Linked DNA regions of Lytechinus pictus. The protein of the gene in region 2 binds, or shares a complex with, the protein of the main gene of each other region. Links are inferred from orthologs where the notes say so. Each region holds a gene or a part of one and is shown on either strand. Other genes may lie near its edges. The genes, in order: inhibitor of growth protein 3-like, ruvB-like 1, p53 and DNA damage-regulated protein 1-like and enhancer of polycomb homolog 1-like.

Region 1 (8,700 bases), about 60 Mb from region 2:
AGACCTTAACTATACCTTTCTGAAATAATTCAATATCAAAAAAGGTCTTATTATTAAGGCATAGACGCTTGTTATTAAAAATAATGGGATTACTTTTCCCTCCAAAATGTCTTCACTTATCCAATTCGTGCCATGCCTTCAGCATATCTATGTAAAATAATGGTATACCTTTTAAATTCATTCTACTCGTATCATAATCACACAGAAATATGATTCGACCACCTAAAGAGCTAAAAAAATATTCGAAGGTTGCTTTCCAACCCGAACTTTTCCCTCCATCTAGCAAACGTTTAATCCACATTATTCGTTGGGTCTTAACAAAGACCTCAAAAAAATTTGGAGCTCTCAGTCCTCCAACAGAATAGTCTTGATATAGAACTAAACCTTGCGTTTTATTCTATCTCTTCCTCCCCAAATAAAATTAAAAGAAATTCTTTCTATTTCCTTAAAAACGTCTTTTGGGACTGTCATCAGGGAAGAAACATAATTTAATTTTGAAAATGCATACATTTTCAAAAGTTTTATTTTACCATACATCGTAAGATCTCTCTGCTTCCACCAACCAATAAGTCTTTTAATTTTACTCAAGATTTCCTTATAGTTCAAGTCATCTTTGACTTTACAATCCCGTGCGAAATATACCCCTAAGATTTTAATATGTTGTAACCAATGTCCAAGAAGTGGTAAACCAGGTCTATCTCTTTCTTCTCCCAACCATAAAAAGTTTGTTTTATCCATATTAATCTTCAATCCACTTAAATTTTCAAAATCTGAGAATATTTTCTTTACTCTATGGATCGAGTTCATATCTTTTAAAAACAATGTAATGTCGTCTGCATACAGAACTTGTTTTATTTCCCGTTTCCCAAATCCTATCCCTTTAATATTAACATCTCTCCTAATATAATGAGCCACTGGCGTAAATCCCGGGGGGGATGGGGGGGATATATCCCCCCCACTTTTCGAGGAGGGGGGGGGATGGCCTGTACAAACATCCCCCCCCCCACTTTTTGCGAAATAAATAAAAAAAAAATCACAAGAGATAATTGTTTTATTGGTGAAAATTCTTCCTAAAATACCGCTTAACAAATAAAACAATATTATTGAATCATAAAATGCAAATAAAGAGCCAGTTCACCATTTCCAAACGAAATACTTATGTCCTTATTATAACATTGAAGAGAAACCCCCGTTTCTTCCAATTCATCAATGTTGGGGTCTTTGGGAAGGGATTAAGATGGAATGTCAATTTTTTTTAAATGTAACCTCTAATAAAACCATTAAACCATCATGGGGTAAAAAAGATAATAATATTGGAGGGGTATTTGCCATATGGACATACAGTGGCGTAACTACGGGGGGCATGGGGGGCACATCCCCCCCCCCCCCATCGGCTGACCCCAAAAAAAAACGGGGAAAGGGGAAAAGGAAAAAGAGGGAGAAAGGAAGAGAAACGTAGTGGGAAAGAAGAAAATATTATTCATTATAATGTTATATTATATTATAATTATGTTATGTTACATTACATAAGAAACATATTTATCATAACTTTATGAAACATAATTTGCCCAGGGCCTACGTCTTCATTGTTCCTGGTGCTCGCATTGTCTGTTTAACGTGATATATAATCCTGTTGTACTAAAACATCCCGTTTTCAAGTCAATATAAACCAAATATATTTCCTAGCACTTGAGTTATCATTGTTTTATGTAGTGACATATGCTTCTTTTTCACGACTCAAAAAGTGATTGCCCAATGTTAAGGTCTTCGTTTATATGAAACATTTCCTGTCCGTGATTACGTTCGCATTAGTGGATTGGTGAGATATGTCTGCTTTTCATAAATTCCTAAAATCAGTCCTTAAAATGTCCCTTCTAATCTGAATATCAAACATTTTCAGCTCGCGCTTTGCGCTCGCATCATTTGGTTAATGGAATACGTATGGTCCTAGTTAATTCTTACAAAAAAACCTTAGAATGCCCCACTTCAGGTCTGAATTATCTAAATTTTCAGCTCGCGCTTCGCGCTCGCATTGTTTAGCGAGACAGGTACCTATCATGTTTACACAAATTTGATTATAATGTCCCTTTTTAGGTGTGAATATAAAAAAATTTCAGCTCGCGCTTCGCGCTCGCATTATTTGATCAGTGAGATACATATCAGTTTAATGACATTGTCCTTAAAAATGTCTCTATTAGGTCAGTATAACTGGCAACTGAGCGCGCTCACTAGCGCACTCACTCAGTGATTCAATTTTTTTGCTGGTGCCCCCCCCCCCATGCCGTGACCCACGGTACGCCACTGTGGACATATCAATGGCAATTCCTTGCATATCTAAAAACATGATTGCAAAAAAAATGCCAAAATATTTCAGTCATCCCCCCCACCCATCAACACGGATTTACGCCAGTGTAATGAGCTAATAATTCAATCGCTATGATAAATAAATATGGAGAGAGTGGATCCCCCTGCCTTACTCCTCTATTAACTTCAAAATATCCCGTAGAATGCCCCCCGTTCAACACGCAACTACTAACATTATAATAAAGAGTTTTGACCCAAGAACACAGATTTTTCCCAAACCCGAAATGTTCTAAAGTTTTGAATAAAAGTTTATGAGAGATACAATCGAACGCCTTTTCAAAATCCACTGCAATTAAAAAACCTAAGGGTTGATACAAAGACTGAAAAAACATATCATCAATTAACCGAACTGCTTCCCCAATATTACGATCTTTGACATAACCCACTTGATCACAATGAATAATATCTCCCAAGACCTCTTTCACCCTTGTCGCTAACACTTTTGACAAAATTTTATAATCTACATTCAAAAGAGTTATCGGCCTATATTATAGTTTTTCATGTGCAAAGGATTTTTGCCTTCTTTTTCAATTAGAGTAATTACCCCCTGTCTCTGCGAATTTGACAACATTTTAACTTCAAAACTCTCATTGAAAGCTTCAACTATGATTTTCCCTAAAAGTGGCCAAAATGTAAAGTAAAACTCTGCGGTAAAACCATCATTGCCAGGCGATTTATTCCATTTCATTTCCTTTAAAGCCTGAAAACATTCTTCATGTGTTATCGGATATTCACAAAACTCTCTATTTTCTTTACTCAATTTGGGTAAATCACTAAAAAACATGTTTTCAATATCATCATTAGTTTCAAGATTTTTACATGCATATAAATTTTTATAAAACTCCCGAATGATTTGTATAATACCTTTGCAATCTCGCACCGTTTCCTCATTTTTATTATAAATCTTCTTAATCGCACTAATTCTCCTTTTATTGGATTCAAGTAATTGTTCAAAGAACTGTGAATTTCTTAGTCCTTCCTCAAACCATTGGGCTCTTGAACGGACCTTTAGACCTTGACGAGAATAGTCGAAAAGTTTATCTAGTTCCTCTTTTTTAAATTCAATTTCGTTTTGGATATCAATATGAAAAGTGATCGTCAAGCGATATTCTAAATCTTTAATTTCTTTTTGTAATTTTTCAATGTGAATTTTTCTGAGTTTTGCTCTTTCACGGGAAAATGCCATTATATATTCTCTTAACTTCATTTTCATAAATTCCCAAAATTTAATCTTGCTTGTTATTTGGTCCCGCCATATTCTTTCTATTTCAGAAATCTTCATCTTTACTCCGTCTACAAAATCTTTATCAGAGCATAAACTGCTGTTAAACTTCCAGTACGATCTCCCATATGCAAAACTTTCGACTAAATTATCAAACTCGACCTGAACTAGCATGGTCAGGAGTGATTGAGGGTAAAATGTTTGAACTTTTCACGTCTTTTTCTAATTTCGAGGAGATAAAAATATAATCCAATCTGCTCTGAACGAAGGGATTATTTTGTTTGAAGGTAAATTCTTTCTTTGTTAGGATGCCGCTTCCGCCACACATCAATTAGATTTAGCCTATCAAGAAAATCCACCAATGAATCTTTATATCTATTCTTCGAAATATTACTTCCACCCATGTAGTCTAAGTTTCGATTCATAGCAATATTAAAATCTCCTCCAACAATAAGAGAATATTCTTGACCAACTACAGAAGATAAAACTTTGTCTAAATCAGACAGAAAATTACATTGTGAGTTTTCTTTATGTGGGAAAGTATACACTGCCCAATATAATCTTTTCACCTTGACACTTTCCTTTAATTATAACATATCGTCCTTCTTTATCAATGATAATTTTTTCTTTGAGAAAATCAACCTTTGATTTAAACATTATGATAACTCCCCTACTGTGGTTACTTCCATGACTGAAAAACATTTCCCCCTTCCAATCAGCCTTCCATCCACCTTCAGTGTCTTTTGTGCTGAAAGTTTCCTGCAAAAATATTATATCCCCCATCATCTGACACCACTGAAATATTTTATTCCTTTTGATTCTATCTCTCAACCCTCTGACATTGACCGAAAGTAATTTTAAGTTACCCGACATCAATTAACACAAAAAGTCTAAACCTCTGACAAAAAATTTGGAACAAAAATATGAATGATAATATTACTGCAAATTGGTAGCTTGATTTATTTAAAATGACAAAATAACCTATTAAACTAAACTGGAGATGAGATAAATACAGACAGACACCAGAACTGGAAAACATAACACCCAACATATCATTCCCCTTCACCCCAACAAACATAACACATACACTTCTGCAAACATACTCAAACACATTCCCATAGACTGTCCCTACTATGAAACCCAAAGAAGAAAGACTTTTCTTCATGTCCTAAAAACAAATGCAAATTATGAATAGACCTATTTTGAGGCCTCTCCCATCCCTCCTGTGATTTGAAAACTAAAATTAAAGATTCAAAGTTATTTTCACAAAATTTATCACTCCCTCCTAAGAAAACAACTAAATTACCTCACTGATCCCAGTGTTTATACTGAATATAACAACTACCTACCGGCCGTCAACATGGTCAAAAACGCCATCTGCCGTTCCAATATTACAGTAATAAGTTGAGTATTCTCCGAAGTCCAATCGCTCGGTGATTCCCTGGAAAATATTCGAAGATGTTGTATTTGGAAGATTACCTTGAGAGTGAGTAAATTGTTATAATTCACACTTCTAACTTTAACTATAAGTTTCGATGTACAAAAAGTAACGTACAGCTTATAATATCGGTAATAAATGGGAAAGATCATTTTGCGGGAATTTTAAATGTGTGCGTACGGTGCGGTACCGGTACCCAGTTGTTGTGTGTCCGGACGATCAATTTTAGAAAGTCATTTGGAAAAATTTACAAGCGAAGTTTCATCAATTTTTAGTACAAAATGTTAGGAAATATTATAGAGAACAAAATAGAAGATGATTACAACTATTGAATTCATATTTTTAGTGTAATCCAAAGACAAAAAGAAGGCTTCAAAAATATAAAGTGTCCGGACACCCGACCCCCCATCCTACCGTATCTACTGTTATGGGATAGAAAGGGGTGCTCGTATTCGGTCAATCCTTTGAACGTATGCCCACAGCTTTCCATTGAGAGAATGTACAATTAATGGCAGAGTATTTCCGGTCACAATATTTTGCATGCTGTAAAGGTCAAGTCCACCCTAGACAAATGTTGATTGGAACCAATTAATAGAGGGATTTTCAGTTAACTTATAATGTGGTATGTGGTGAAAGTTTAGTATGTATATTATGTGGATTGTGGTTTGTAAATTGTATTTGGCGGAACAACCAAAATACAGAGACTGAAGCTTTTGGTCTAGTAGGCCTAGTATAGTAGTAATTAGTATGGGGCTAGACCAAAAGCTTCAGTCTCTGTATTTTGGTTGTTCCACAGAACTGCGTTGGCTCACTCACCAATAGTTACATAGACTGAAAAGCTTGGACTAGTTGGAGGCCCGTACGTACAGACAACTTATTAATATTAGCAGTAACGTTAGATCTAACATTCGGCGGAAACCCGATTTTCCGATCGCTTTTTTGTACATAAAATGTCACATTATGAAAAAGAAATCACATCCATATTTACGAAAAAATGTATAAAATTAAGAAATATCGTACCTTAGACCGCAGTTACCGCTAATTCTAGGCACTTCAGGTGAAAATTAGGAAAGGCTGTTCCAGCATATTTGATGGGCTCACAATGAGGCTCAATATCTACGATTCACAAAACTGTTTGAATTTTCAAATTCCGATATCTAGAAGTCGAGTTATTGTCATCTTTGTGATGAAAAAACAGGCCTTTTTGTGGACAAAAGAAGATTGCGAAATCTTATTATTCTCTTTGTTTTGGGCATGGCACATTTATAATACATAGCTTATGGGGAATTGTACAAGCTTTTTATTTAAATCTTAAAGTACTCAGATTGATTTGACATATTGGCATATGATTTCTTTGGTTCAAGGGCAACTACCCCTGGACGATAACCCCCCACCCCCCACCCTCGGACAATTCCCCTCCCCCCACCCCCACCCACCCTGGACAATTACCCCCCCCCCTCCGGACAACTACACTGTACCCCTATCCAAAAATCTACACCTAACCTAACCCTATTTCGGGGGTAATTGCCCTGTGGTAGGTTTGTGCACAGGGTAAACATGACTTGATATTGATTTTCTTTGCTTGCCTTGAACATTAGAAATTAAGTTTTCAATGAATATAATTTGTAATCAAAGAAAGAGAATTAAAATAATAATCTTAGGATTTCTAGAAAAAAATAAAAAGAGATTGATTTCAATTGTCTATTATCTCATTGTCTTGTTATTATGGTCTCAATAAAATTGTTGATATTATTATTGTCTCATCATCGTTTCATTATTGTCCCAATAAGTATTATAATTATGATAATTATTATTATGATAATTATTTTTGTTTCATTAATATTATTTTCTGAATAATTATTACAATTATAATTACTATCATAGTAATTATTGTTATAATTATTTCATAATAATAATTATTATTGAAATAATAATTATTATTGTCTCAATAATTATAAGGCCTATAATTATAATTATGATTATTTTTATGATTATAATTATAATTATAATAATTTTTATAATAATAATTATTGATGACTTATCAATATTACTGTCTCAGTAATTATTACAAGTACAATTATTTTCATTATAATTGTTATCATTATAATTATTCTATAATTATTATTATTGTAATAATAGTTATTTGTCTCAATAATTATAAGGCCTTTAATTATAATTATGATTATTTTTATAATCATAATAATTTTTATAATAATAATTATTGATGACCTTTCAATATTACTGTCTCAGTAATTATTACAATTATAATTACTTTCATTATAATTGTTATCATTATAATTATTTTATAATAATTAGTATTATTGTAATAATAGTTATTATTGTCTCATTAATTATAAGGCCTATAATTATAATTACTATAATTATAATTGTTTCTACAATTATATTTATTTTAATTATAAGTATTATTATTATGATGATTATTATTGATATATCATTAATATTATTGTCTCAGTAATTATTACAATTCAAAGTACATCGTTATAATTGTATAGCATACTAACCTCGCAATACGTGTGAGTGTCCTGAACCGGATGCCACATGAGTCCATCCATCCTATATTCATCTCTTCTCTTCTTCCTTTCTTTCCTTCCTTCTTTTTACCCTTTTCTTTCCTTCATTCTTTGTTACTTTCTTTGTTTCTTTCTTTCTTCCTTCCATCCATCCATCATTTTTTTACCCTTTCTTTTTTTTTTTTTTTATTTCTTCCTTCTTTAAGCCCTCTCTCTCTTAAATTAATTCCTTCCTTTCGTCTATCTGTCTTGTTCTTTCCTTTTTCCCTTTGTTAAATCTATCCTTTTACCTTCCTTTTTTTTTCTACTGCTGGCTTCCTTTCTCTCCTTTATTCTTTCATTCCTTCCTTTCTTTGTCTCTCAGTCCTTCTTTTTTCTCCCTTTCATCTTTTCTTTTTTTATATTGCTTGCTTCTTTCCTTCCCTTCCTTTATTTCTTTCCTTCTGTCTATCATTTTACCTTTCCTTTATTTCTTCCTTAATTCCTTTCTTCCGTCTTTCAATCCTTCCTTCCTCTCTTTCTTTCTTTTGTCCTTCTTTCCATCTCTCCTTTTACCCTTTCCTTTTTATTGCTTCTTTCTTTCCTTTACTACTTTCTGGATTTGTTCTTTCTTTCTGTATTGCTTGCTTCATTTCTTTCCTTCATTTCTTTTTTCTTTTCTTTCTTTCTTATTTTTGTTCCTTCTTTACTCCTTCCTTCCTTTCCTTCTTTAGTTCTTTCTTTTTTTCCCTTCCTTATATATGACAAAAGGCAGCATTCATGAAAACAAAATATTAGGCTCAGTGTCACAGACTGAGGTCAGTCTCAATTGCTTGAGGATAGCTGGATGTAATAACTCCTAGAATCTGCATGTCATTCAAGCTATTTTTAGAAGTTAGTTAATGATGAAAGTTTAGCTCTTGTTTTGGTATATTTTTCTGAGAATTAACGGTATGCCACATAATATTAGGATAAGATGAAGCTAGATCTGGCAACATACTCAGATCACAATCTGTATCATTTGTGTTTGAACAATACAATTGATTATCTTAGGTATTTGCACTGACAATTTGGAGCATGATAAAATCCCAACTTGTGAATTCATGAGATCATTGATGATATTGCTTCAAAGTATCTGACTTTCACCAACCTCAACTTCTTCAGTG
Region 2 (8,311 bases):
AAATATTTGAATTATTCTGATTTATTAAACACTCACTTGCAATAAATTTCAGTTTTTGATTTGAAAAAAAAAACAGAAAATTGAATATTGCCCTCTCCATTGATATTTTGTGCAAGATACATGTAGCTGAGAGATGATATTTTTTATTTTATGGATTTTAATTGCGCCCCTAAAATGTGGAAGCACTGGGTCAAGGTAGTATTTTTTTTAAATATAGTTACACAAGTCGAGCTCTGCCCGTTAATTAAGCTACCTGGTTGCCCCGACTAGGCCGTCGGGCTATCCTGGGGGGGGGCACTAATTAAAAAGCACTGATAATTTTTTATTGCCCTCAAACATGCATTATTGTGCCTGATATACGCCCCCTAGATATGCATGCAATGGGTCAAGCTATTGTTCTTCTGGTTGCCCTTGTCAATCTCTACATGTTATGCTACCTGTGCTCCGGCCGGCTTGGCCAAAAATTTGGATAGCCCTGGGAACCGGAGCCATTTGATTTAAAAAAAATATGCTCTTATAATATAGACCCTAATTTCATTGATTTGTGTCCCCTAAATGTGCATGCGCCGGATCAAGCTAATGTTTTTCTTGTTGCCCGAGTAGGGCTCTATATACCCATGAGGTTACCTCGATCACCTGGTTGCCCTGGCTATACTGTCGGGATATCCCTCCGGGGCCTTTGAACAATACTAACTGCTTTATATAGCTCTTAACCTGCAATTTTATTGATTTACGCCCCCTAAATGTGCATGCACCATGGTCAAGCTAGTGTTTTTTCAAGTCAAGTTCTACCCGTAATAGGCTATACCCGGTTGCCCCGGCTATAGGCCGTCGGGATCTGTGGAGTGTGGACCCCTTTAAAAATGCATTTTTCCCAACTCACCATGCCTTAATTAGGCTACATTATTTTTTATGCCCTTTCATCATATCGAAAACTTGTATGCAGTGTACCGGACATGTAAAAACATAGCAGACGACGTTTGCAGACCTCGCGATCATCGTATGACTAGTGGTGCGGACAGGGCCGTAGCTAGAGGGGGGGGGGGGGTATGGGGGGTGTGACACCCCCCCCCCCCAACATTCATGGCAGTCGGCAAAATCATGTACCAGTTGGCAAAATGGAGGATAGGGGAGAAAAAGAAAGAGGGAAAGAAAGAAAGAGAAAAAAGAAAGAAGGAGAGAGGGGGAGAGAAAGAAAAAGAAAGAAAGAAAGAGAGAGAGAGAGAGAGAGAGAGAGGAGGAAAGAAAGAAAGAAATAAAGAAAAAAAAGGAAAGAAAAATAGGGGTACTAACTTCGAAGAAGGTTACGACGTTTAGAGTAAAGACAACCAGTTGGCAAATCCAAGTCCATGTAGTCAGGCTTAGAGCCCTATAGTCAGAAAAATACAAAGGACAAAACAGATGGAGCTATAATAACACACAAAGTAAGCCCCGGTCCTCCCCCAATATAAACAAGCTTGTGAGTTTGCAAATTATACCACAATTATTGACGATTTAACAAACACATTAGTTTTGTAAAATCAGAGGCAAGACTAGGTAAATAAATATGGGGTAGGATGAATTTCCAAGGTTTAAGTTGAATAATCAAAGCCAAAGTATAGTTGGCAAATTATAAAGTGGGCCTATTAAAGTGGCAGAACACTACACGCTCTACCAGTCAGCAAAGTGATGTACAAGTACTGCCCCGTTTCAGATCTGAAAAGAACAGAACACAAGACTTAAAAAACTGGTAACTCTTCAGTTGGCAAATTCATGAAGACAGGTCTACAACTTGTAGACTTGTCTACAAGTTTGCAGTTGGCAAAAACACAAAAATATTCTAAGTTATTTTTACTAAATTCTGTCGCCGAAGATTTTTTATTTATTTATGGTGTCAGAATGTGCTTGGGGTGGGGATGGGTGGGAGAGGGGGCAGGTTGGGGTTGCATCATTCCTGGTGCTCGCATTGTCTGACTAATGAGATATATAGTCCTGTTGTATTTTAAGTCCATGAAGATTATGCACCAAATTATCCCCTCGCACTTCAAGTTATTATTGTTTTATGTAGTGACATATGCTTTTTTCATGACTATATACTTAAAGTGATTGCCCCCTTTTAAGGCCTTAATAAAACATTTCCAGTCTCTGCTTACGTTCGCATTGGTGTGGACCGATATAGATACCGGGCTGGTGTTAAATCAACACCGGCGTTTTTGCAGTGCACGAATTCCTAAAGACAGTCCTTAAAATGTCCCTTTTTCTGATCTAATTACAACAAATTTTCAGCTCGCGCTTCGCGCTCGCACCCCTTAATTTGTGAAATAGTAAATTCCTACAAACAAGCCATAGAATGCCCCTCTTCAGGTCTAAATTTTAAACATTGTCAGCTCGCGCTTCTCGCCCGCAACATTTCATTATTTAGTGAAATACGTATCATGTTCATGATTACAATTATGACCACAAAAAGTGCTTCATGTACCAGAGTAATTTTAACAGAATCAGCAAGCGCTTGGCGCTCGCATTAGATGACTATGATGAGATACGTACGCACTTCATAAATTCCAAAAGATAGTCCTTAAAATGTCCCTTTTTAGGGTTAAGTTATACAAAAAAATTCAGCTCGCGCTTCGCGCTCGCATTGTTTGTTTTGTGAGACAGGTACGTATCATGATTACAAAACTTTGCTTATAATGTCCCTTTTTAGGACTGAATACATTTTCAGCTCGCGCTTCGCGCTCGCATTATTTGATCACTTAGATACATATCCGTTTAATGGCACAGTCCTTAAAATGTCTCTATTAGGTCAGTAAACATGGTAATTGAGCGCGCTTCGCGCGCCCACTTAATGACTCAAAAATTTTGCTGGTGCCCCCCCCCCCCCCCCATGCCGTGACCCAGGGTACGCCACTGTTAGCAGTAGCGCTCTTGAAATTTTAGTTGAGACATCTTGCACAGAAGGTCAATTAAAAATTAACAAATCTTTGATTTTGATATTATTAATGCATATAGGGTATATCATTATACTGCAAGTTAGCAACTACGGCACACTATAGCCTTTCTATTTTGATCCAAAATGTTTATTTTTATCTTTGTATAATTTACCTTAAAGTATTCACCAAATGCCACTAATTCAATTCTAAAAATTCAAAATCTTTTAGCATGTGATTATTGTAGGGGGGCACATCCCCCATCAGACTCCCCCTGTGCTCACGTTGGCGCTGTCACGCCAAATTTAGTTGGCAAATTTAGCTGGTACACCCCCCCCCAACAAAATGCTTCTGGCTACGGCCCTGGGTGCGGAATGTTCCATTGCGGCTTTAATTATGGGGGAAATAGCATCACGGAGGGATAAAATGTATACACAGATAATGTTTCAGCGTTGATTCGCAATATTTTGAGTCAATTTTAATGAATTATCGTTGTTTGAACATTTAAACATCATTATAAAATGAAAGAAATAAGCAAAACTTAATTTTCAGACTTAGCTATGCAGTGGTAAGCTAGGATGCACCCCTCGTATACATAATGGACCCGTCACGAGTGTAGGTTTGCTCTTCGGACATCACTATCACAAAGAAAATCTCCTCTGATTTGATGATAAAAGTGCCCTATTTCCTCATCTGATAGAAGAAGTTGTTACCATTCATTTCAGGGGGGCGGAAATTCTATCTGAATCAACGCTTGTCCTTGATACACATTTGTTTGTGAAAAAAGGGTATAATGCAAGGGAATTCTGCGTGTTATAAGGGTGCGCGCGTGCAGCGAGGACCTTCTGTCCGCTAGTTTTCCATATGTAATTGATTGCGCCCCCAAAATGTACATGCATCGGGTCGGGTCATGTCCGTGTTTTCCTGGTGTTCCGAGTCAATTTCTATTTTTAGCTTAGTTGTTTGCCCCGACTAGGCCGTCAGGCTATCCCTCGGGGCCCCAACCCCCCCCCCCCCCTAAAAAAATGAAATCAATAGAATTTAAAAAAAAATAAGCACATTAGATCTATGCCCTTTTAATGTTCTTGGGCGGTATTCTGAGGTAATTTTATCTTTAAAATATTTTATTTTATCTCTTAAAATGAAATTGGTATTCTGAGATGACATTTTATCTCTCAGATAAAATTTTGAATTTTATCTTGCATATAAATTTTATCTTGCGTATCTACAGATGATACGCAACAGAGGAGTGCCTGCGTAGACATACCCATCGCGTATCTGGCCATGCAACGCGGATGATGTGCTTGCGCCCATGTTACTTTGAAGAAAAAATAAAATAAACTTAAAAGAGGGTAGGGGCTGTTTTATCTCTGCGACGTTGCTTTTATCATTATTTCTTGGTGAATTAACTACAAATGTTGACATGAAAATTAAGAAAAATTATATATTTATTGAGAATAATACCTTAATGTTATTCCTGTACAATCAGGAAGTATTTCATAAAACTTTTCTTGACTAATATTGTCTTTGAAATGATGCTTGAAAAGATGTGATATAGACTTCGAAAAAAGATGAGAGTATTGTCATTTTTTTTAAAGAAATCTCTGTAAAGACGCGCAAGCGTATTTTGCAAGCGTATTTGAAGTCAATAAATTGACGCAATATCACTCCTTTGCCACACCTCCTGGCGGAATGGATTTTCATTGGTTGAGTGATATGAGAGAGCTATAAAAGCGCATTTTTAATTGGATATTGATTAAAAAATAGGTGTGTCTTACAGAGATAAAATGAAGATAAAATTGTTCTCAGAATACTAATTCGGAGAGATTTTAAGGGTATTTTATCTCACTGATTTTAACGGAGATAAAATATTTTATTTTATCTGAGATAAAATGGATCTCAGAATACCACCCCTTGTTTTTAAAGCTTTTTAGCCTTTATTCAGATCATAATATTACATACAGCAATATAACAAAGGAAAATAATAAACATCGTGATAAAAATTTTCAAACAAAAATTATCTTAACCCAAAGCAGTTAATTGAGCTGCACCCATAGAGATGTATACTACTACTAGTATACATCTCTATGGCTGCACCACAGCTGCTGGTGTTGCTGCCCTCTTCGTTCGTTACTCAGACAATTCACTGAGACCCCATGCGTTGATGTTGATGTTAGATACAACTTGCCGGGACAATTTGGTTAAGATCCACAGCAAATCTATCGTTTAAGCCCGGATTCTAAGAAAATAAATCAAATCAAGTTATAGACTCAAGTTGTAGGAGCAACTATGAAGATCGAGGAGGTAAAAAGTACAACGAAGACTCAAAGAATAGCGAGTCATACTCACGTGAAGGGCCTTGGACTTGATGACTCTGGAAATGCATCATCAAAAACAACTGCAGGTCTGATTGGTCAAGAAATGGCCAGAGAGGTTGGTAGATCGAAACATTAGATCGAAATAACGTTAGGCTAGCCAGGAGGCTCCTAGAGAGTAAAAATCATTTACTAATATATGCTTACCCTCCACGGAGCCAGGGATTCCTTCCCATTCATGTACGCGTGCCACCAAAAAACCAGAAACTTTCGCCCCAAGATTTCTACTTTCTAAATTTTCTAGCCATAAATCATGTATGTAGAGAGTACGGCCTACGGGATACAACTTCATTACCGACATTTCTACGCTATCGATTTCATTTTTAAACAAGAATTCATTAAGAAAACAAGAAAAGTATTGTGTAAAGACAGGGGAAACTTGCCGAGATGTTTACGCCGCCATCTTGTTTCTCGTTGTTTCTCTTCGCCAACGTTACCTTTAGGCCTATACCTTTATAGGCTAGGCCTATACCTTTATACCGCATCTACTGGAAAAATACAGTTGTTCCTGCAGCTGCAGTCAAGTTTCCAGGTCTATCTCGTTGTCTTCCTAGCTTGGATAAGTTCGAAAACTGAGTCTGTGCTATTTGTGCAATGTGCTGTGCCAATTAATGTATTGGAATGAAATAGGCACTATTCCCATGCGTGAACATAATGCCACGCAGACCAGAACTTGTCTAACTTTGTCTTGAAGCCATTGATTGTTGATGCTGTGATTACCTCAGTAGGCAAAGAGTTCCAGTCATTAACCACTCTAACACTGAAGGGGTTTTGTCTCACTGCCAGTCTACGCATGCATGCGTCTGTAACGTTGGCGAAGAACAATGCCAATGCATCCGTTACGTTGGCGAAGAACAATGTCTGAGAAACAAGATGGCGGCGTAATGCGTCCAAAATTTTGTCCGCTGACTTTAAAAATAAAAGTGGAATATTATAGGGAATAGGGGTCTAAAGACTAAGTAGTGCACTCACACTAACGTTAGTACAGTGCGAGGTCATATACTTATCTCGCACCAAGAACCGTGTTTGGCAGTGGATTTCTTACTGGCTGGTCACAACACACGACTTCTAAAGTTCTAGCCTTGATTTTTCTGTGAGTTGCGGCATGTAATGAACCCTTGAGTGGTCTAAGTGTTAACCACTTTTAAGTTACATGTAGTAACATCACATGTACATCTTTGGTTTTGCAAGATTAACTTAAATTTGTTGTCTTGATTTCAATTGCTCTTAGTAGATATGAAGGGTTTATTCATGTTTAGATGATACAAAGTTTATAAGTCTTTTTCTTTTGAGTCACATAAATAAAACTGTCAGTGTCACAAAAAAGAATCATCAATCATTTGTACATGTTTCAATGAAAGTGATTTGAAAAACAATAGTGATTTAAATCGCAATTTAAATCAACGTGATCTAAATCGGCCTACCCTGTAATAAGAAGCAAGACATAGTCCAGCGGGTCGTGTGGTCTAGTGGTTAGAGCATTGGACTCATAATCGCAAGGTTGTGACATGTGCACAACAACAAGGTTGTGAGTTTGAATCCTCACTCTGCTATTGTCTCCACTTTGATAAAAAGGCCCAAGAGTAATATCTGTCGTCTATAGGGTCAGCCACTATGACTGAATAACCTAGACGTAAAATGTTTCCTAGGTAATTGGTTATATACCAGCTTGGCGTTTACCAGCAAAAATTATGTTTGTACTAAAGTCTGTTTTACTTTTAATTTATCTTGCTCAATAACTTAAAGGAGAATGAAACCCTTGAAACCAGCTGAATCCATATCAAAGAGAAAAATGAAAGAAACATATTGTTGAAAGTTTGAGGAAGATTGAATGAATAATAAGAAAGTTATGAGCATTTGAATATTGAGATCACTAATGCCATGTAGACCCTCCCATTGGCAATGCGACCAAGATCTGTGATGTCACACACGTACAACTCCCTCATTACTTTCGTACTTATTTCACTTATATTCTCACTTTTATAGAGTCTATTAGAAGGTGAGGTGTTCTCTTTATGAGAGGACAAGTAAAGAGGTTTCACAACATTATATCATTGATGAATCGTTTGTCATATGATTAGAATGAGCAAAAAGAGATGTTTTGGGGTATATTTTCAGCGTCCAAAAGGGGAGAGTTGTTCATCTGTGACATCATAGATCTTGGTTGCATTGCCAATGGGAGGATCTCCATAGCATTAGTGACCTCGACATTCAAATGCTCATAACTCTTCTATTGCTAGTCCTATTTTACTCAAACTTTTGTTGATCTTATTCTTTGATTTTTCTGCTTTCACAAAAGCTAACTTGCTCCAAGAGTTTCATTCTCCTTTAAGTGATGGAATTGGCAAGTAAAGAGGAAAGAGGGCTTAGAAAATCAGAAATTTCCCTGGAACTATTTTAGTCACTCTATAAGAAAAGAATGGTTCACAAATTGACACACTCATCTGACACACTCATCTTAATAGACTGCATTCTAAGTCTCCACCTTTGCACAGGGTCTACATTTTGCATATTGATATTAACTTGTTTTTTTACAGGCTGCTGGTGTAGTTGTAGAGTTGATACGCTCCAAGAAGATGGCTGGCCGAGCCATCCTGCTAGCAGGGCCTCCTGGGACAGGAAAGACGGCTCTAGCCCTTGCCATCGCCCAGGAGCTTGGCAACAAGGTACCCTTCTGCCCCATGGTTGGAAGCGAGGTCTTCTCATCAGAGATTAAAAAGACAGAGGTGCTGATGGAGAACTTCAGAAGGGCAATAGGTAAATAGATAAATCCCAAATGTGACAAATTTGTTGTTTAGATTTTTGGTTTTCTCTATTGGGATCAACTTTGGGAACGGAAATAGAACTAATAATAATAATAATAATAGGCTTTTATAAAGCGCCATCTATCTAGAAATATTCTATTCCGAGGCGCATTGTTATTATTATTATAACTAGCAAGATGTAGGGGAGACCGGGGTTAGTTGGAACATGGGGTAAGTTGAAACATTGTAATTTTCTTTAACGTCTTTAAATAAATTTCTGCAATAC
Region 3 (8,153 bases), on a different chromosome or scaffold from region 2:
CAACACCAACACCAGATTTCAACACCGTACATGAAATCACCAACTATTTGAGGTAAACATTTCACTTTATAGTCCCCATAATGATAACATAGTATTAGAGAATGTTTACCCACGCAGAAAGCCAATTAATGGAAGGCTTGAAAGCAGACATGATTGAGGATTTTTACAGTACCTTCCATTTCTCTAAGTTTGGCAACCTTTGGCTTTAATCCATTCCTCAGATCATTGATCTCTTCGTCCAGCTTCTTCTGATCTGTAAGGTGTTGTATATACACAAACAAAATGGGAACATTTAGATTGAAGTTGACAGACAGAATGTCCTGTAACAGCTCTTGGTGCAATAAAAGCAAATCTCTATACTTCTTCAAAGCCTGATCACAAAAGAAATGTGAATATGTGGGAATGGAATGGTCTGACAGAACTTCAAATTCACTATGCTTAGTGCAATGAGAAATGTTTACTTGCTGAAATCAAGCACAGATGCTCAGCAATACAACCTAATAACATCATTATGATCCCTAGCAGATCCATTCATTAGAGTGATGTACGAGTCATATCTGATAGTCAACTGACTAACTGTATTCAAAGTACAAAGAGGACGGTCCTCAATTCTGTCCTCACTTTGCCTGGATTTCATAATAGCCTACATGTAATCCTGAATATTCAGATACTTCACGCAAGGAGAATCTGCATTTTGCCCTATTTTTTAATGTGTCTGACGGCTGTGAAAACGGCAAAATGCCCTAAATAATGCCTCAACAAAAAAAAGGAAGAAAATAATTGAATATTTTGTTTGAAGGGGTAGCATGATGAACATTGATGCAGTCATTCAGGATCAATATGTTCAAAGAAGTAAACAGTTTTCAGGCAACTCACCATCGGTCAGCATCGTCTTGACATTCTTGGCTGGAAATTTGATGAAAGTGTTCCCGAAGCTGACCCATGTTTTGACTTCTACATGAAGAAATAAAAGGGACATAAGTAAATCAGTCAGGTGTAACCAGTGTTATTCGCATAAGGGCTAGAGGAGCCGATCTTAGAATTATCAAGATTGTGTGCAGATTCAATAATATGAAAAAGAAATAAGTATTTACAGACAGATGTAATAATGCTAAAAATGCAACAATTCTACACATATGTTATGTAGGAGCCCTCAGTCAGACAACTATGCATAAAATTTTCCAAAAAAATATGATATTTTGCATAAAGAAAATGTTCACTTTGAAAAAAAAAAGCAAAATTTATATCTTGTGTACATGTACTATTCTCCACTGGATGGCACATGCTAACAACTAACTTTCATATTCCGTATTCACTTGCTTTTTATTATTGACTGAACTCTCATGTAATGCCCAACAATTCTTCTTTTTTTTTTCAAAGTCCAGAGAAGGTACTTGAAATATAAGGTTTACATCAATGGTTTGATTCACATTAATATCCATTGCTTACCCCCCCCCCCCCCCAACAAAAATGCTTACATGTAAACAGTTGTTCAACATTTGGACTTACCTTTAATTAAAACCAAAATGTGAAAATCCTTTAAGACCATAGAATGTTCAAAATGTAAGCATTTAATACTCAATACTTGTTATGGAAATTTATGAAATAATTTACATTTAATGTAGGGAACTCTAAATGAAACACAATTATTCACAATTAATGCTTCAGCTTTTTTATTCTGTAAAAATTTCTCTGGAGTTGGAAATTTCATTATTTACATACCCTTTTTACTCTTCTGAGATTCTGTCTGGTTTTTGAGTGCTCGAACTGCTTCTCTGCTTTGGTTTCTCTTTCGATCAAGATCTACAATCTAAGTAAAAACAAAATGGACACAAGCAATGTGAACAAGTAGGCCTATTTATTGCTATACCAGGAGCCTGAATCATCAAAATGCTATTGATCTAGGTCTATCTATTCACTGCCATTGGGTTTAGGGTTAGGTTTTGGGTGGGGTATAGTGTTAAACCCAGGGTTTAACATCATGCCCCCTCTATATGCATGTCGTAGCTTAGCTACTAATGAAGAGGACAAGATGGCGACGTAAACATCGGTAAGTTACAATACATCTGATATTCTCATAATAAATTTTCAGTTTTTTTTTATGTATGGTAAGGTCCCCTAAGTCTGTGCACACAGGTATCTGCAAGATTCTAGTAAAAGATATGCGACAACATGATCATCCCTCCGAAAAAAATTGTAATCAAATGTCCATTGTCTCTATAAAATCAAAAGCTACATATCATACATGTATAACAAATTGTTGAAACAATAGAATACATAAGGAATTGGTGAAACAATCAAATACATCAGAAAATAGCACACTTGTATTTTTATTTGGTCATACAAAGTCCAAAAGGAATGATAATTTTCATATGTAAAAAAAGACCCCCGTACATACATGTATACAATACTAAAGTTGAAAAAGAGCTTGTAATTTATATCAGAAAAACAACGAAATACATTAGAAATTACAAAAACAATACTTTAAACAAATTCATTTAGGAAATTATCTACATGAAGCTGTTTTGATGCCAACTAATTTTGATATAAATTATCTATCATAATCACCTTCATTTTGCAAAAAAAAGAGGCGAGTGATTGTTATTTTGCGTAATTAATTAAAATTATAAAAAATTATTTCACACAAATTACGAAGGAAAATTACAAAGAGACATGATTACAGTTACACATCAATTGAGCTTTCTTTCAATTCACCTTTCCATGGATACCTAAATTACTTCAAAGGGCTCAAAAACAAAGAAGTTAGACTTAGAGCCTGTTGAAGACTTGGGTTCAAAATGGTCACAAAATTAGTTTTGTATTCCATTGACTTTACATTAAGACAACGACTACAAATTTGGGCGAATATTTTGCTTATCTTATTCACAAGTCACACGTACCGTAACCCTCTATTAGTATTACGTTAGGAGCCTCCTGGCAAAGCCGCACTGCCACTTGCCATGTCAATGACCGAGCAAATTTGTCAACAGTGCATCCTTAAAAAACTAGTTTAAAACAAACATACCTGCTGTTTTTCGGTGAGAATTTCTTCTGCAAGTGCCTCTAATTCACCAAGATGCGTTAAGACGAAGTTCGTATCTCTGGATCTGGACATTTTGCATGAAACGGTTGACTTGGTCTTGGCCTAGCTGATTTCGCCGAGGCGACATCTCTCACACACTACTATACTACCGCATGCGGCGCGCTGCAGCTAGCTAGCTGCATTTATTCATACCGTATATGGCTTCAATGGAAGAATCACGTTTTGCTTCCTTTTTTCTACTTTGTTTCAAAGATTTATTAATATAATTTTTCATTAGGCCTATTTCTATTTTGTTTACTTTTTGCTGGGCCCACTTACAAGTTTTCAAATTCGACTATTCCAATTCACGTGTGATCCCGCATAATCCAAAACTCAGCCCCTTCAAATTGATGTCTCTGGAGAATTTTGTGAACATTTTTTTAGCCCCGAAATGGAGGGGGTTCCCCTAGCTAGCTCCCCGGCCCACTGTAGTGTGTATTTGCCGATGACAAGGTCTAATTGTAACACAAACTTTGACAGAGAGAAAAAAAAGATGAAAGCCTCGCTAGCTGATCCCCTTTGCAAAATGTCCATTTTGCACGGGTTTATGCTTGATTGATTGATTGATTTTATTCGTCAAGAATATCACAGGAGATTACAATGAAATTGAGGAAATACCTTGACACTGATAGCCCATGAAAGCCGAAAGGCTTATTTCCAATGGGGTCCTATAGTTAGTATAAAACATTAACATATTGTAACAAAAAATATAAACTACGACAAGTACTGGAATATTGGGGGGAAAAAATAAAATACATACAAACATATCCATCAGTCATATAATTTGAAAACATCTGAAGCAAACAATAATCTTCCTAATATGTGAAACAAGATTATATTTCAACACACCCTAATGTACTAGTATACATTATCTATACTAGAAACCAACTGTACAAAATGTGTTATTTTACTGGTAATGCTGTTCTCGGGCAGTTTCCAGTTTTAGGTGATTTTTTAATGCACTCTTAAATTGACAAAAGAATTTAACGGCTTTTATGTTATCAGGAAGAGCATTCCAAGATTGGATGCCATTAAAATAAAAAGTGTTTACAATATGTCCTTCACGTTTTGGTAATACGAAATTAAAATTACTATTTCGAGTATCGTATACCTATGGATATTTGATACCCAGGTGAAATTATTTGCTATATAATGATCTAATTTATCCGAATAGAATATTTTATGCACGTGGTGTAATACTAATTGTTGTGACCTGTGATCTACATGAAGCAATCCTGCCTTTTCAAGTTCATTATATCCGACATGTGCTCTTGGTCCTAAAACATTTATATATCTCACAATTTTATTTTGAATTATTCTTAGCTTTTTCTTATCCGTAACACCCAGACTACCGTACCAAGCCGCATTAGCATAGTCGAATAAACATTGTATTAACGCAAAGCATAAAATACGTCTAGACTTCATATTCAAACAGGTTTGATATCTATATATACAAAAATTTCAAGCGTGAATTAGCCATTTTGGCGATTGAGTCTACCAGACCCGTCCATGATAGGTTACTTGTTAAATTAATTCCCAAATATCTTACTGAATCTTTTCTTTCAATTACCTGATTATTATATGAAACCTTGAAATCGTGTGTATATCTTAACTTTCGTTTAGAACAAAATAAAATGCTTTCCGTTTTCCCAACGTGTAAACTAAGCTTGTTGTCAGACATCCATTCGATGCAATTAGCCAAATCAGCACTAAGTTTTTTATCAATTATCTTGGGATTTGTATCCGAATATAGCAAGACGCTATCATCAGCATATAAAATTAATTTAGATTCGTTAATACAAGTACACATATCATTGATGTAATACATAAAAAGAATGGGGCCTAAAATGCTTCCTTGAGGGACTCCGCATTTAATAGGCAGTGAATCAGAAAGAACCGTCTGCATGGTAACTACCTGATGACGGTTAGATAAATATGATCTAAACCATGTCACACATGCAGAGTCTAAACCCATCACTTCTAATTTCTTTAAAAGTATGCTATGATTCACAGTATCAAAGGCTTTTTGTAAGTCTAGGAGAACCATTCCAACCATGCGCCCATGTGAAATTTCATTCCTGATAAAATCTGTTAAATGTATTAAACAAGTTTCAGTGGAATATCCGTTACGAAAGCCGGACTGAAATTTATATATTAGGTTGGTTTCTTGGAAGTATTTCTCCACTTGAGCATGAACAGATTTTTCCAAAATCTTCGACACTAGGGCCTACACTTAATACACTTATTGGCCTATAATTACTAACGTCAGTTTTATCTTTCTTTTTATGTAGCGGGGTAACTTTTGCGAATTTCATATCATCAGGAAAGGTAGAAGACATAAGAGATAAATTAATAACATAATTCAAAGGTTTGTACAAATTTCTTGCCCCATCTTTTAAAAATCTTGCAGGTATCATATCTAAACCAGTACTTTTTGATATTTTCAACCTATTTAGTTCATCATTTTTGTAAGCTACATTTCTCTCTTTAATTAAAACAATAATTTCATGGTTCATCCATTTTTCAGTTGATTGCTTAATTCTTACCTCTTTCAGAGGTGCGCTCATATCTATAATTGACAAGAATATAGATTTAAAATTTGCCCAAGCCATATTTACATCTTTACATTCAGTTACCTTGGACCAGTCTGATCGGGATAAATTTAAGTTGAAATCATCTACATTATAACCTTTTAAGCTCCTGATGGACACAGTTCTGTGGTGCCCAAATACGGGCCTGACAATCTTTCTTGAACAATAAATCAATAAATGATCACTTATACCTAGGTCAATAACACCACTTTGACTAATATGCTCTTCTTTACTACATAATATGTGATCTATCAGGGAGGAAGATGTCTGAGTTGTACGTGTGGGCAGCTTTACAAGTTGGCTTAAACCACTTAGATTAAGTAAATTCTCATATTTCTGGGATAAAGGAGACTTTTTCGAAAGGCAAATATTCATGTCCCCCAACACTATAATCTCATCATCTTTTTTAAATTTTTCTAAAGTGTCAGAGAGTGATTCAATTAAATTATTATCTTTAGGGGGTCTGTAAAGAGCACCAAGTGTAATGGGCTTTGTCCGAGGCAATAGAATATTGATCCACAATGATTCAATATTTCTTGGAGTCAAGTCTTCTCTTATATTAAATGCAATGTCATTTCTTATGTAGAGAAGCCTATATACCTTTTCGATTGAGACCATCTCACCCCCCCCCCCCAAAAAAAAAAACCCATTAATTCCCAAATTTGTACTCATTAATCATCAAGCCCTAGAGGTGCTTGACTCAGAGAATTTAGAAAGCCTTCATTTTTCAGACCAAGTTTCAATATCACTATATATGTTCCCAAAATGCTAATGATGAGTACAGTAACCCGGGAGAGTATGAAATATGTTTCGAGCAAAATTTCTGAGAGTAAGCCTTATCATGTAAAAGAAAGAAAGAAAGGGGTATATTGCTGGGGGGGGGGGGCGGCATTCCTTGGGAGCAGGCCGGGCACGTACGGCACCACCCCTTAGGCCTATTGTGTAAGCTCGAGAGTGCCCCTTAAAATTTTTACCCAAGAAAATATCCAGTCTACTTTTTCATCTTGGGAACTTTGCCTACGACTTTGAGATGTTCATTCTCGTTACCCTTCTCAAAGCCACTCTGCCATGCCCCGATCAGCAACCATTTTCCTTTGATCCTTCTGCAAGCGCATGTTTAATCACTTTCAAAAGTATTGCCCGGCCCTTTATTTCAGTTGATCATAGTGAATTATCTAGTCTGCAGAGACTCCAACCCCAAACACCTTCCGATCTGGAGATTCTCCCGCCTGGAGACTCTAATTTGATGTTTTTTGCGCACATCACGAGCGCGAAGTCCCTTGCGGCGGGGTCCTGCATGGGCCCACTCAAAGGGTTCTAAATGCTCTCTTATGCTATATCAGGCTATTTATTTAATATGATGGCATCAGTAGCGTAATGAGCTAAAAATTTCGAAGGGGCTAGATATGGCATATCGCGTAAAATTGATAAACAGTTGCGAGCGAGCGAAAATTTTGATGTTTTATTTCAGAAATCCAATTTTGTTATAGATTTCGACACATTAAAAAATGATAATATCACATTTCACCCTCATGACTTTTTTGCCCCCCACCCATCTGTACGACTTAGGAGGGTACCAAGTAATTAACAATTGAATGAATCAAATCATACATTTTGGCTTGATAAAACTTAATAAAACTTTTATGCATGCATATAAAATTGATAAGCATCTACAAAATCATACGTTTTTGTGATACGGTACCTTTATCCGTATCAACCAGTGAAGACATACTACCTCACGGCCTTAAAGTTGACATTTCCATCCATCTTGTCTCAATGACTTGATGATCTCTGGAGTAAGATTGCTCCAAACGCCATAGCGATGGGCGAGATCGCGCGCAGCGTTGACGCTCTACTTTAGTCTTAACTTGAATATCGGCTTGGATATGAAAGTTTAATTCCGGTTTTCAAAAAGGTGTTTGGGCGGGAGAAAGATCATTTAAGGCGGGAGAAAATACATCCTATGCGGGAGACACAGGGCCTGGGCGGGAGATATAAAATCTCAATCGGGAGAACGGGAGATTTTGCGAAAAAGGGCTTTCGGCGGGAGATCTCCCGCCGAAAGCGGGAGTGTTGGAGTCTCTGAGTCTGCAGTATACGTGCCCCTTTGATTAAGAGCCCCATTTGTGTCCTTAATTTACTAGATAAAAGCCCTTTTCTTTTCCAGTTTGTTTTTGTTCACCTTGAATTTTCATTATGTAAGGTCATTGCAATCAGCACCCTTTCCTTTCTACAGGGGCAGTGGAATGGGGGGGGGGGGGGAATTGCCCCCCTAAGGAAAAAAATGTGCTGTTTATTTTTTCTTTCAAAACTAAACGGTGCCCTTAGTGAAGTATAACACTTTCTTTTAATCTGCACATTTTTGTCACTGAAGTTGACTCTTTTTTGTTGTGCAAAATATTTTGTTCTTTGTTCATCAATTCCCTTTTTTCTCACTCCTGAAGGGGCACATAGACAAATCCTATTTGACAAATATTTCA
Region 4 (8,335 bases), about 10 Mb from region 2:
TTTGCAAATGATGCTCCTGTTGAATTAATCAAATTTTGAAATTAATTTATAAAAAAAAAACCTTAAACTTGATAAAATTCTGATGCAGGACAAAAATTAATCCAAAGCTAGAGCGACTCCTGAAGGAGACACTGGCACTTTCTCTTCATCATTGATGCTACAACTCACACATAGAATTGAATACATGTATGATACCGGTATAAAGCATTTATGATTTGAATGGGTGTCATAGGTTCCCTCTCTTAATGTTTTGTAAAAAACCAAGCCAAACTTCAAGACTATATTTCACATATTTGAATTTCAATGAAATTTTCAGCATTATGAATAATAAATAAATAATACGTAACTTGTATCTAGCACATGTATCCACCATGTTAGGTGCTCAAGGTGCTCCTATATTACCCTGGCTAAGCTGGTATTCTTTTTTTTCGGTGCTCACAACTTTTTGAGGAATTACTGCCTGCAGGTACCCATTTACATGTACCTCACCTGGGTTGAGTCAAGGAGTTTTAAGACAAGGGGAACCATCCAACACTTTCTCTTTATTGCCACTTTGATGCCGCAATGGTAAAAATATGTTACACATGTGTTTCATTGCATATTTCTTGCAGATTGTAGACCAAAGATTCCTAAAGTCAAACTTATAGGTGAATTACAAAAGGAAAAATGCTTTTGTAGTAATTACTCCCGAATTACTCTACGCTGCCTCTGGTGGGATAATATGAGCAGACACATTGCTCACTTTTACAGGGAACAGCAAATATAAAAGTTGCAATATATCTTGAAATATGATTTGAAATTACACGACCTGTTGCATTTGGCCGCAGTTCTGACACATACATGTAGCATCACAAATTAAACTAATAATATTTTTATAGTCTGGACGTTTGTGGGATTTTGTGAAATGTTGATTTTAAAAATGTCAAATTATGAGGTTTTTTATCAGTTTAAATCTTTTTTAAAACTTAAAAAAAACTTAGCTATTGGCAAACTGGGCAAATGACTCTCAATCAATAGAGGGCCTACACAAAAATGCTCAAAATCACATTTTTTGTGCACTCTGAATAAAAAAAAAGATCCCCAAGTTAATAATTCACAACTTAAGGAAAAAAAGAATTTTTGGTCAAAGCGCATAAAATAAACATAACTACATGTAGACCCTACCATCACTTGTTCACTACAACCACCCTGCCTGTGGGAATCTACATGTATAGGCCTACAAGTGGATCTATGCAGTATACAACACACATTAAAAAAAAATCATTAAAATACCACTTTTGTAACCAAATATACTCATTTCCATACATCTGCAATTTAATTTAATTCATATAGCTTAGGGATCATTTTTTCATTCACCAGAGAGCATAAAAACTTGAATTTTGGGCATACTTTTGTGTAGGCCCTCTATTGGTGGAGAGTAAAATTGCAAGAAAACATTTACATTCTTCATTTTTAATATGGAAAAAATAATCAAAAGAATTCAATTTACTTCAAGCCAAGTTATACGATGAATAGTTGTAATGGAAATTGACAGTGTAAAAAATCACAAGAACAAGAGAAAATAAGCCAAACATTGCCAACCTTATTTCTCCACACAGGGGATAAATAGTAACAGAGAACAATGTTATATCATAACCTTGTTCATTGAATGAGTGCCTACCACATTATTGTTATTTATATTATTTGTTATTAATATTATCATTATTGTTATTAAAATATTATCATTGTTATTAATATCATCATCATCAATATTATAAATTACATTATCATTATTAAATTATAATCATTATTATCATAATTATTATCATTATTATTACTATTAATATCATATAATTATTATCATTAGACCCCTATATTTGTTTAATATTGTAAAAAAAAAAATCTGACATGTGAAAATTGGGAAAAGGAGGACACATGTCTAAACATTAAAAAAAAAAAAGTTGCACAAACAAAATAATAAATATCTGTATTCTGTGTATTGGTCATATTCTAAGATTTTGTCAGCCTGTCAATAACATTTCTGCTCTTAATTTGTTCTTATGAACTTCTTTGGTAAATCTACTGTGACTGTGTACATGTAGACTTCTAATTTCAGGGGAAAAAAAGGCCAAGTTGGTTTCATTAAAAAATTCAGAATCAATAATTCAAATTAAGGTCAACTCATCATTTCATGTAAACAAATAAATGTACATTTTAATAGTGAAATCATGTTTACATTCATCGTGCACATGTCAGAGTTTATTGCACAACACAGAAATTTTCCCTCTAAGTCTAACCCTATCTACACATAATGGACTTGTCCACCATTCATCATCCACTTATGAATAATTCATGAGCATGCAGTGGAGAATAAATATCACAAGTGTATCATAACCTTAAAATTTCTTCTTTTTGTACAGCTGAAAAAAAAATCATCATCATTAAACAGCTCATACATGTTTAAATAAAAAATTAATAAAAAATAACTCAATTTGGTTTAAAAATAATACGGTGACCTAATTATTAGCATGTGACGCATGCGGGACCGTCCATTCTCAAAATGGGTGAAGTCAACATTTCACAGAGGAAAAAACTTTCAAAAATCGAATTCTAAATCGAATCAACTTACTTCAGTTCACATATTTCTTAATTTGAATAATGAAAGCATCTAATAAATAACCGTGAATAGATATCTCATTGAAAACAAACCAATAAATGTCGCAAAACAATATGAATTATTCGTCTCGCAAAAAACGTCGGTCCCGCCAAAAAGGGCGTGATTTCAAAATGGCCGCCAGATCCGGGTAACCTCATTATATATGCAAGACCAACGGACTAATTTGCATGAAACAAAAACCTACCGATTCTTCTTCTTTTTCCATTCCTGTGGGCATTTGAGGAACTGCCCGATTGGTAGTGGAAAAATCAGGCAAATCTGGAAGCTCATCTGTTGTGTAGATGGGCATCGGCTTCGCGGGATCGGGAGCCCGAGCTCGAAAACTTAGCTTGCTCATGATGACGGAGTGTCAACGATCCCTTAAAAATGCCAGAATGTGCCTCTATAGGCCAAATAGGCCAAAATCACCGAGCTGAAGTCAGAAATAGTGGTATCATCCGTCCTCTCATTCAGATAGAATCTGGAGAAATGTGCTAAAAATCACAAATGAAGGCAAAATAACGGTAAATTTTCCGCCTTTATACATAACAACATGGCGGACAAAAAATTCGCAACCTTCCCAGAATTCCTCTGGATTGATCACGTCTGCGCGCGCATCTCATAACGTGTTGTGTTCCCACGGCGGAACCCGGGAATTGTGTGTGTGCATTCGGCCTAAACCATTTAAAAACAGCTGATGGCTTCAGTAGTAGTGAACGGTGTACACTTCAGGATTAGACCGCTTGTAAACTTAATAGTGCAATTTGCTTTAACTGAATAAGAGCAAATTTGACTGTTTTTACCAGTCTTTTCGAGACTCTAGCAAAATTTAATGTTATAAGATCAAAGATATTAAGATTATCAACAGCTGAATATTTCCATTTTTAAACAATATTTACAGTTTTTCTGCTCATTCTCCAATTTGCCGAATTTTGGACTGCCTACTTGTTTTTGTTTTTTTTTTGCTTTTGGTGAGAACAAATCATCGAAATATAGGCCCTATAGGCTATTAGTAATATTTTCCTGGTAAACTTTACGGAGTAGGGGAAGGCAGCCTAAAAACCATTTAGCTCAAGTTTAAAACAAAAGTCATGTTATGTTATTATCTTGGCTACTATCATTGGCGGCGGAAGCCAAAAATTTTAGGGGGGACGCAGGAAACAAAATTGACAAGCAAAAAAAAAACAAAAAAAAAAGGTCATCAACAAGAAATTTAGGGGGGATCGTCCCCCCACCTCAAATTTAGGGGGACACGTCCCCCCCCCCCCCCCCCGCTTCCGCCGCCTATGGCTACTATTATGATTGAACCAATAACTCGAAAATGACTTCAGCGATTATTTATAAAAATATCAAGGCCAAGATGAAAACATAAAATATGACAACCAGGCAGGTTGTCTAAAAAAAATCCGGGAGTAGTCATGATTGAGCCCATCACGCTTTTGATAATTGGTCGAGTTGCATATTTTTTTATGATAAGATTTAAAATAAAAACATAAATATTTGTTTTAACAGTTGCGTAAGATATTTAGAGTTGCGTTTGATTGCAAAAAGTTTCTGCAACGGGCCTCTGATCGTCTCAATTTTTTTTTCTGGAGAATCAAATCTAGCCATGCAGCCTACCCCCCCCCCCCCGCCCTGTCCATCGCAAACAAACATAAAGGATAATGATAATTATAAAGGTTATACCAGGATGTGCATGTTTTGTGAAATTTAGCGAAAGATATATGTATAACTTTTTTATTTCACATTCGATTTTGATGAAATTTTCAGTGTTGTGCTTATTGAATTTTTCTCTTTTTATTAAAATAAACTTTTCGTTGGGATGGAGTCCGTCCTTTAACACTATGATCTAGCTCGATAATTTTTTTTCAATTTTAAAGTGAATTGCCTTTGATGGGATATGGCAATATCAATATGTGGAGCGTTGTGGCCCAGTGGATTAGTCTTCTGACTTTGAAACAGAGGGTCGTGGGTTAGAATCCCAGCCATGGCGTAATCGGGGCGTAATTTCCTTCAGCAAGGAATTCGTCCACGTTGTGCTGCACTCAACCGAGGTGAGATGGGTACCTGGCAGAAATTTAATCCATGAAATGCCATCGCGCTGTATAAAGCTGCGGGGCTAAAGCCAGGGGAATAATATCCAAGTCCTTCGGAGGCGCATAGGGACGTTATTACATGTGATATGCGCTAAAAAAAAAATACAAGAACTGCGTTATTATTATTATATCAGTGGAAAAATAATCGTCTTCACTTTTTTTTAATGCCTATATCAATTAATATCTTCATTTCTTTCATTTGCAAGGACTATACCCTTTCCAATAAAATGAGGATAATTGTTGCCATTCGATCATTTTGTGTGTTTGTGGATGTCAATTAAATGATTTTCCATGTGAACTGATTTGCCCTAAATTGAAGTATATGCATGTTCAAAAGGGGTTCAGTATCGTTTGCTTAACAAGTTAAAAAGTGGGGGCGCTCTTCCCATGGCACTGATGTGAAAATCTGAACACTGTCGTCATTCTTACCACCATTTTCTCCTCTCTTCATCTTTATCATCACAAAATAAAGAACACATAACGCACAACAAATATCCACCTCTAATTGTCTTCCTTCTTTTTTCAAACATTTTTTAATAAAAAATTATTTGTACAAAGATACAAAGCAGAAGATACTTATAGAGTAGGAGATGATACAATATTAGATGGGTATATCCCGTAGCCAGTTTTTTTTTTTTTTGGGGGGGGGGTCTGAATTGTAAAAAGTGGACCTTTCTACTTTCAATGATCAGGCCCGAACTCATGTTTAGTTCTGTTACTTCCAGGGACGGATCTAACTTTCGCCAATAGGAGGGAGTGAGGCTAGGGGCGGAAGACAATTTATTATTGTAATCCATCTTTCCCAGATCGGCCGCTAAAAGATAAAGGCTGCTGCAGTTACATTTTTAACTTTATTATTAAGAACAAGATAAGGTGTCTCATAAAGTATAAATAATGTGAACGCAAAGCGCGTGCCAAAATTGGTAATATGACATGATAAGGGAGTCAAGGGACCTGTTTCGGACTTAGTGTTTGCAGAGGCTCACGATCGAGGAGGATACACATCTCACCAACCAATGAGAGCGCGAAGCGAGAGCTGAAAATTATCATTTTCACTGGAAACTTGTCATTCTAAGTACTTTTTGTAACCATGACCAAGATGGCTATCTAAACAATTGATAAGAGCGCGAAGGGCGAGGTTAAATTTTTGATATTCCGACCTAAACTTGGACAGTTAAATGTGCATATCAAATTTTAGGTCGGAATATCAAAAATTTATAATTTGTGGCAGCGCGAAGCGCGAGCTGATTTTTTGCGATTTAGACCTTAAACGGGAGATTCTAAGCATTTTTTTAACAGAATGGATATCTAAAATAACACTATGTGCATGAGCTTTGAAGCGCGAGCAGAAAATTGTTGATAATTATTCCTATCTGTAAATATTGACAATGTAATAACCTTTTATTTTTTTCATAAAGAACAAGATATCCAGTAAAGAATTAATGCGTGAGGTGATTTTTTAGGGACATTCCATTCACTTTTTATAAACATGAAAAGGGTGGGTATATCTTGCTCAATAAATGACACAGGCGCAAAGATGAAACATTTTATATTCCAATCTGAAAGCTGTAAATTAGGACGTTTTTAAATAAAGAACTACTGTTCAAATTATCTCAATGATGGGAGTGTGATATACTGACCCGAAAGGGAACATTTTAAGCACGTTTTAACACGTAGGAACACAATGAAGAAGATATTATTAGTTTGAGAACAATAGACTAACAATGAGCATTAGAATGCTGAATCACGAATGCAATGAGTGTTACTCTCAATGCTAATGCTATGGATAGACACTCATTGGTAATGTGATCAAGGATTTGTGATATTACAAAAGTACAACCAGTGGCGGATCCAGGGGGGGGGGGCACAGCCGGCCCGTGCCCCCCCCCCCCCCCCCCCCCCCCATTGAGAGCCATAATCAAAATTTGTAATGTTAATATACGGTTTTAACTTAATATACCGTTTTCCTTTTGAAAGTGAGGACCTTTTTTTTTTGCTTGCTTGTCAAATTTTCACAAGGAAAATGTGCCCCCCCCCCTTTTGGAAAATTCTGGATCCGCCCCGGCCGGAGTACAACTCACCCCTTTATACATTTAAAATATACCCAAACATTTTTTTTTTTCATTATCTTAATGATAGCAACAATCTTTGCCCACGATACATTTTATGAAACCTTCATTAAAATGTCCTCCCATGAAACAAAACCACCTCGTCTATGGATCTTCTTGGAAAATAAAGATAATTCAAGTAAAATATCTGCAGAAAGCTTTATAGGGGTTGTGTGTGGCAACATGTTGGTTGTATTGCCAATGCGAGAATGTCCACATCGAGTGATCTCTGTAGTCAAATGCTTCTAAATATCATTAATTTTGTCTTTCAAACTTTCATTGATTATTTTGTTCCTTTCAGATCACACAAGCTAACTTGTTCCAAGTGTTTCATTCCCCATTCAATGGTAGCCTATAATATTTGCTTTTTTAGAATAAAAAAAACAGAGAGGCAAGAGGAAGCGAACCCTTTTTTTGGGTAAAAGTAAGAATAAAAATAAAAAAGAGCAACACTGGTGTTTTGGTAGCCCCCACCCCTATGCATGCACATACTTGTTATTTTTAATTTTCTTTTTTTTTGGGGGGGCAAGTATATTTTCGGGGGTCACTTTAGGAAGAAAAATATTGAAATGGAGGTTTGAAAAATTTTCCATAATAATTTGAACAATCCTACAATTTTGGGGGTTACTTTCCTAGCTTTACCTGTATCATATACCTGTATGATTTTGCTGGATTCCATTGCAAAAGCCTGTGAAGGGGGGGGGGGGTAAAACGCCTAAACCATTTCCATTCTTTAAAGGAGAATGAAACTCTTGGAGCAAGTTAGCTTTTGTGAAAGCAGAAAAATCAAAGAATAAGATCAACAAAAGTTTGAGTAAAATAGGACTAGCAATAGAAGAGTTATGAGCATTTGAATGTCGAGATCACTAATGCTATGGAGATCCTCCCATTGGCAATGCGACCAAGATCTATGATGTCACAGATGAACAACTCTCCCCTTTTGGACACTGAAAATATACCCAAAACATCTCTTTTTGCTCGTTCTAATCATATGACAAACGATTCATCAATGATATAATGTTGTGAAACCTCTGTACTTGTCCTCTCATAAAGAGAAAACCTCACCTTGTCATAGACACTATAAAAGTGAGAATATAAGTGAAATAAGTACTAAAGTAATGAGGGAGTTGTACGTGTGTGACATCACAGATCTTGGTCGCATTGCCAATGGGAGGAACTACATGGCATTAGTGATCTCAATATTCAAATGCTCATAACTTTCTTATTATTCATTCAATCTTCCTCAAACTTTCAACAATATTTTTCTTTGATTTTTCTCTTTGATATGGATTCAGCTGGTTTCAAGGGTTTCATTCTCCTTTAAGTATCTTTAAGCAATCTAGAAGTATGATTAATCAGCTGAGGGGGGGGGGTTGGTTGGGCTATATGAGCTGCTGACAAAGATTTACCAAATTTATTTCACAAAATTGTTTTTCATAAACCTTTTATAGTAATTTTCTGTCAAATTTCTGGAGTGTAATGCAGCTATAGCATTT

The links.
Region 1: ruvB-like 1 (region 2) and inhibitor of growth protein 3-like share a complex: the UniProt entries of both Homo sapiens proteins name them as parts of the SWR1-like complex. The link is inferred for Lytechinus pictus from reciprocal best matches to the Homo sapiens genes RUVBL1 and ING3.
Region 3: ruvB-like 1 (region 2) and p53 and DNA damage-regulated protein 1-like share a complex: the UniProt entries of both Homo sapiens proteins name them as parts of the PAQosome complex. The link is inferred for Lytechinus pictus from reciprocal best matches to the Homo sapiens genes RUVBL1 and PDRG1.
Region 4: ruvB-like 1 (region 2) and enhancer of polycomb homolog 1-like share a complex: the UniProt entries of both Homo sapiens proteins name them as parts of the nuA4-related complex. The link is inferred for Lytechinus pictus from reciprocal best matches to the Homo sapiens genes RUVBL1 and EPC1.

Annotation. Positions count from the first base shown.
Region 1 is NC_087247.1:64,846,074-64,854,773, forward strand, and holds the start of inhibitor of growth protein 3-like, read left to right. Parts: upstream 1-4,976; 5' UTR 4,977-5,044; coding exon 5,045-5,072; intron 5,073-8,700. UniProt on the Homo sapiens protein: Component of the NuA4 histone acetyltransferase (HAT) complex which is involved in transcriptional activation of select genes principally by acetylation of nucleosomal histones H4 and H2A.
Region 2 is NC_087247.1:4,838,816-4,847,126, reverse strand, and holds the start of ruvB-like 1, read left to right. Parts: upstream 1-5,035; 5' UTR 5,036-5,195; coding exon 5,196-5,339; intron 5,340-7,818; coding exon 7,819-8,038; intron 8,039-8,311. UniProt on the Homo sapiens protein: Possesses single-stranded DNA-stimulated ATPase and ATP-dependent DNA helicase (3' to 5') activity; hexamerization is thought to be critical for ATP hydrolysis and adjacent subunits in the ring-like structure contribute to the ATPase activity.
Region 3 is NC_087246.1:64,627,283-64,635,435, forward strand, and holds the start of p53 and DNA damage-regulated protein 1-like, read right to left. Parts: upstream 3,513-8,153; 5' UTR 3,116-3,512; coding exon 3,026-3,115; intron 1,811-3,025; coding exon 1,723-1,810; intron 955-1,722; coding exon 877-954; intron 254-876; coding exon 173-253; intron 1-172. UniProt on the Homo sapiens protein: May play a role in chaperone-mediated protein folding.
Region 4 is NC_087247.1:14,834,395-14,842,729, reverse strand, and holds the start of enhancer of polycomb homolog 1-like, read right to left. Parts: upstream 3,300-8,335; 5' UTR 2,994-3,299; coding exon 2,841-2,993; intron 17-2,840; coding exon 1-16. UniProt on the Homo sapiens protein: Component of the NuA4 histone acetyltransferase (HAT) complex, a multiprotein complex involved in transcriptional activation of select genes principally by acetylation of nucleosomal histones H4 and H2A.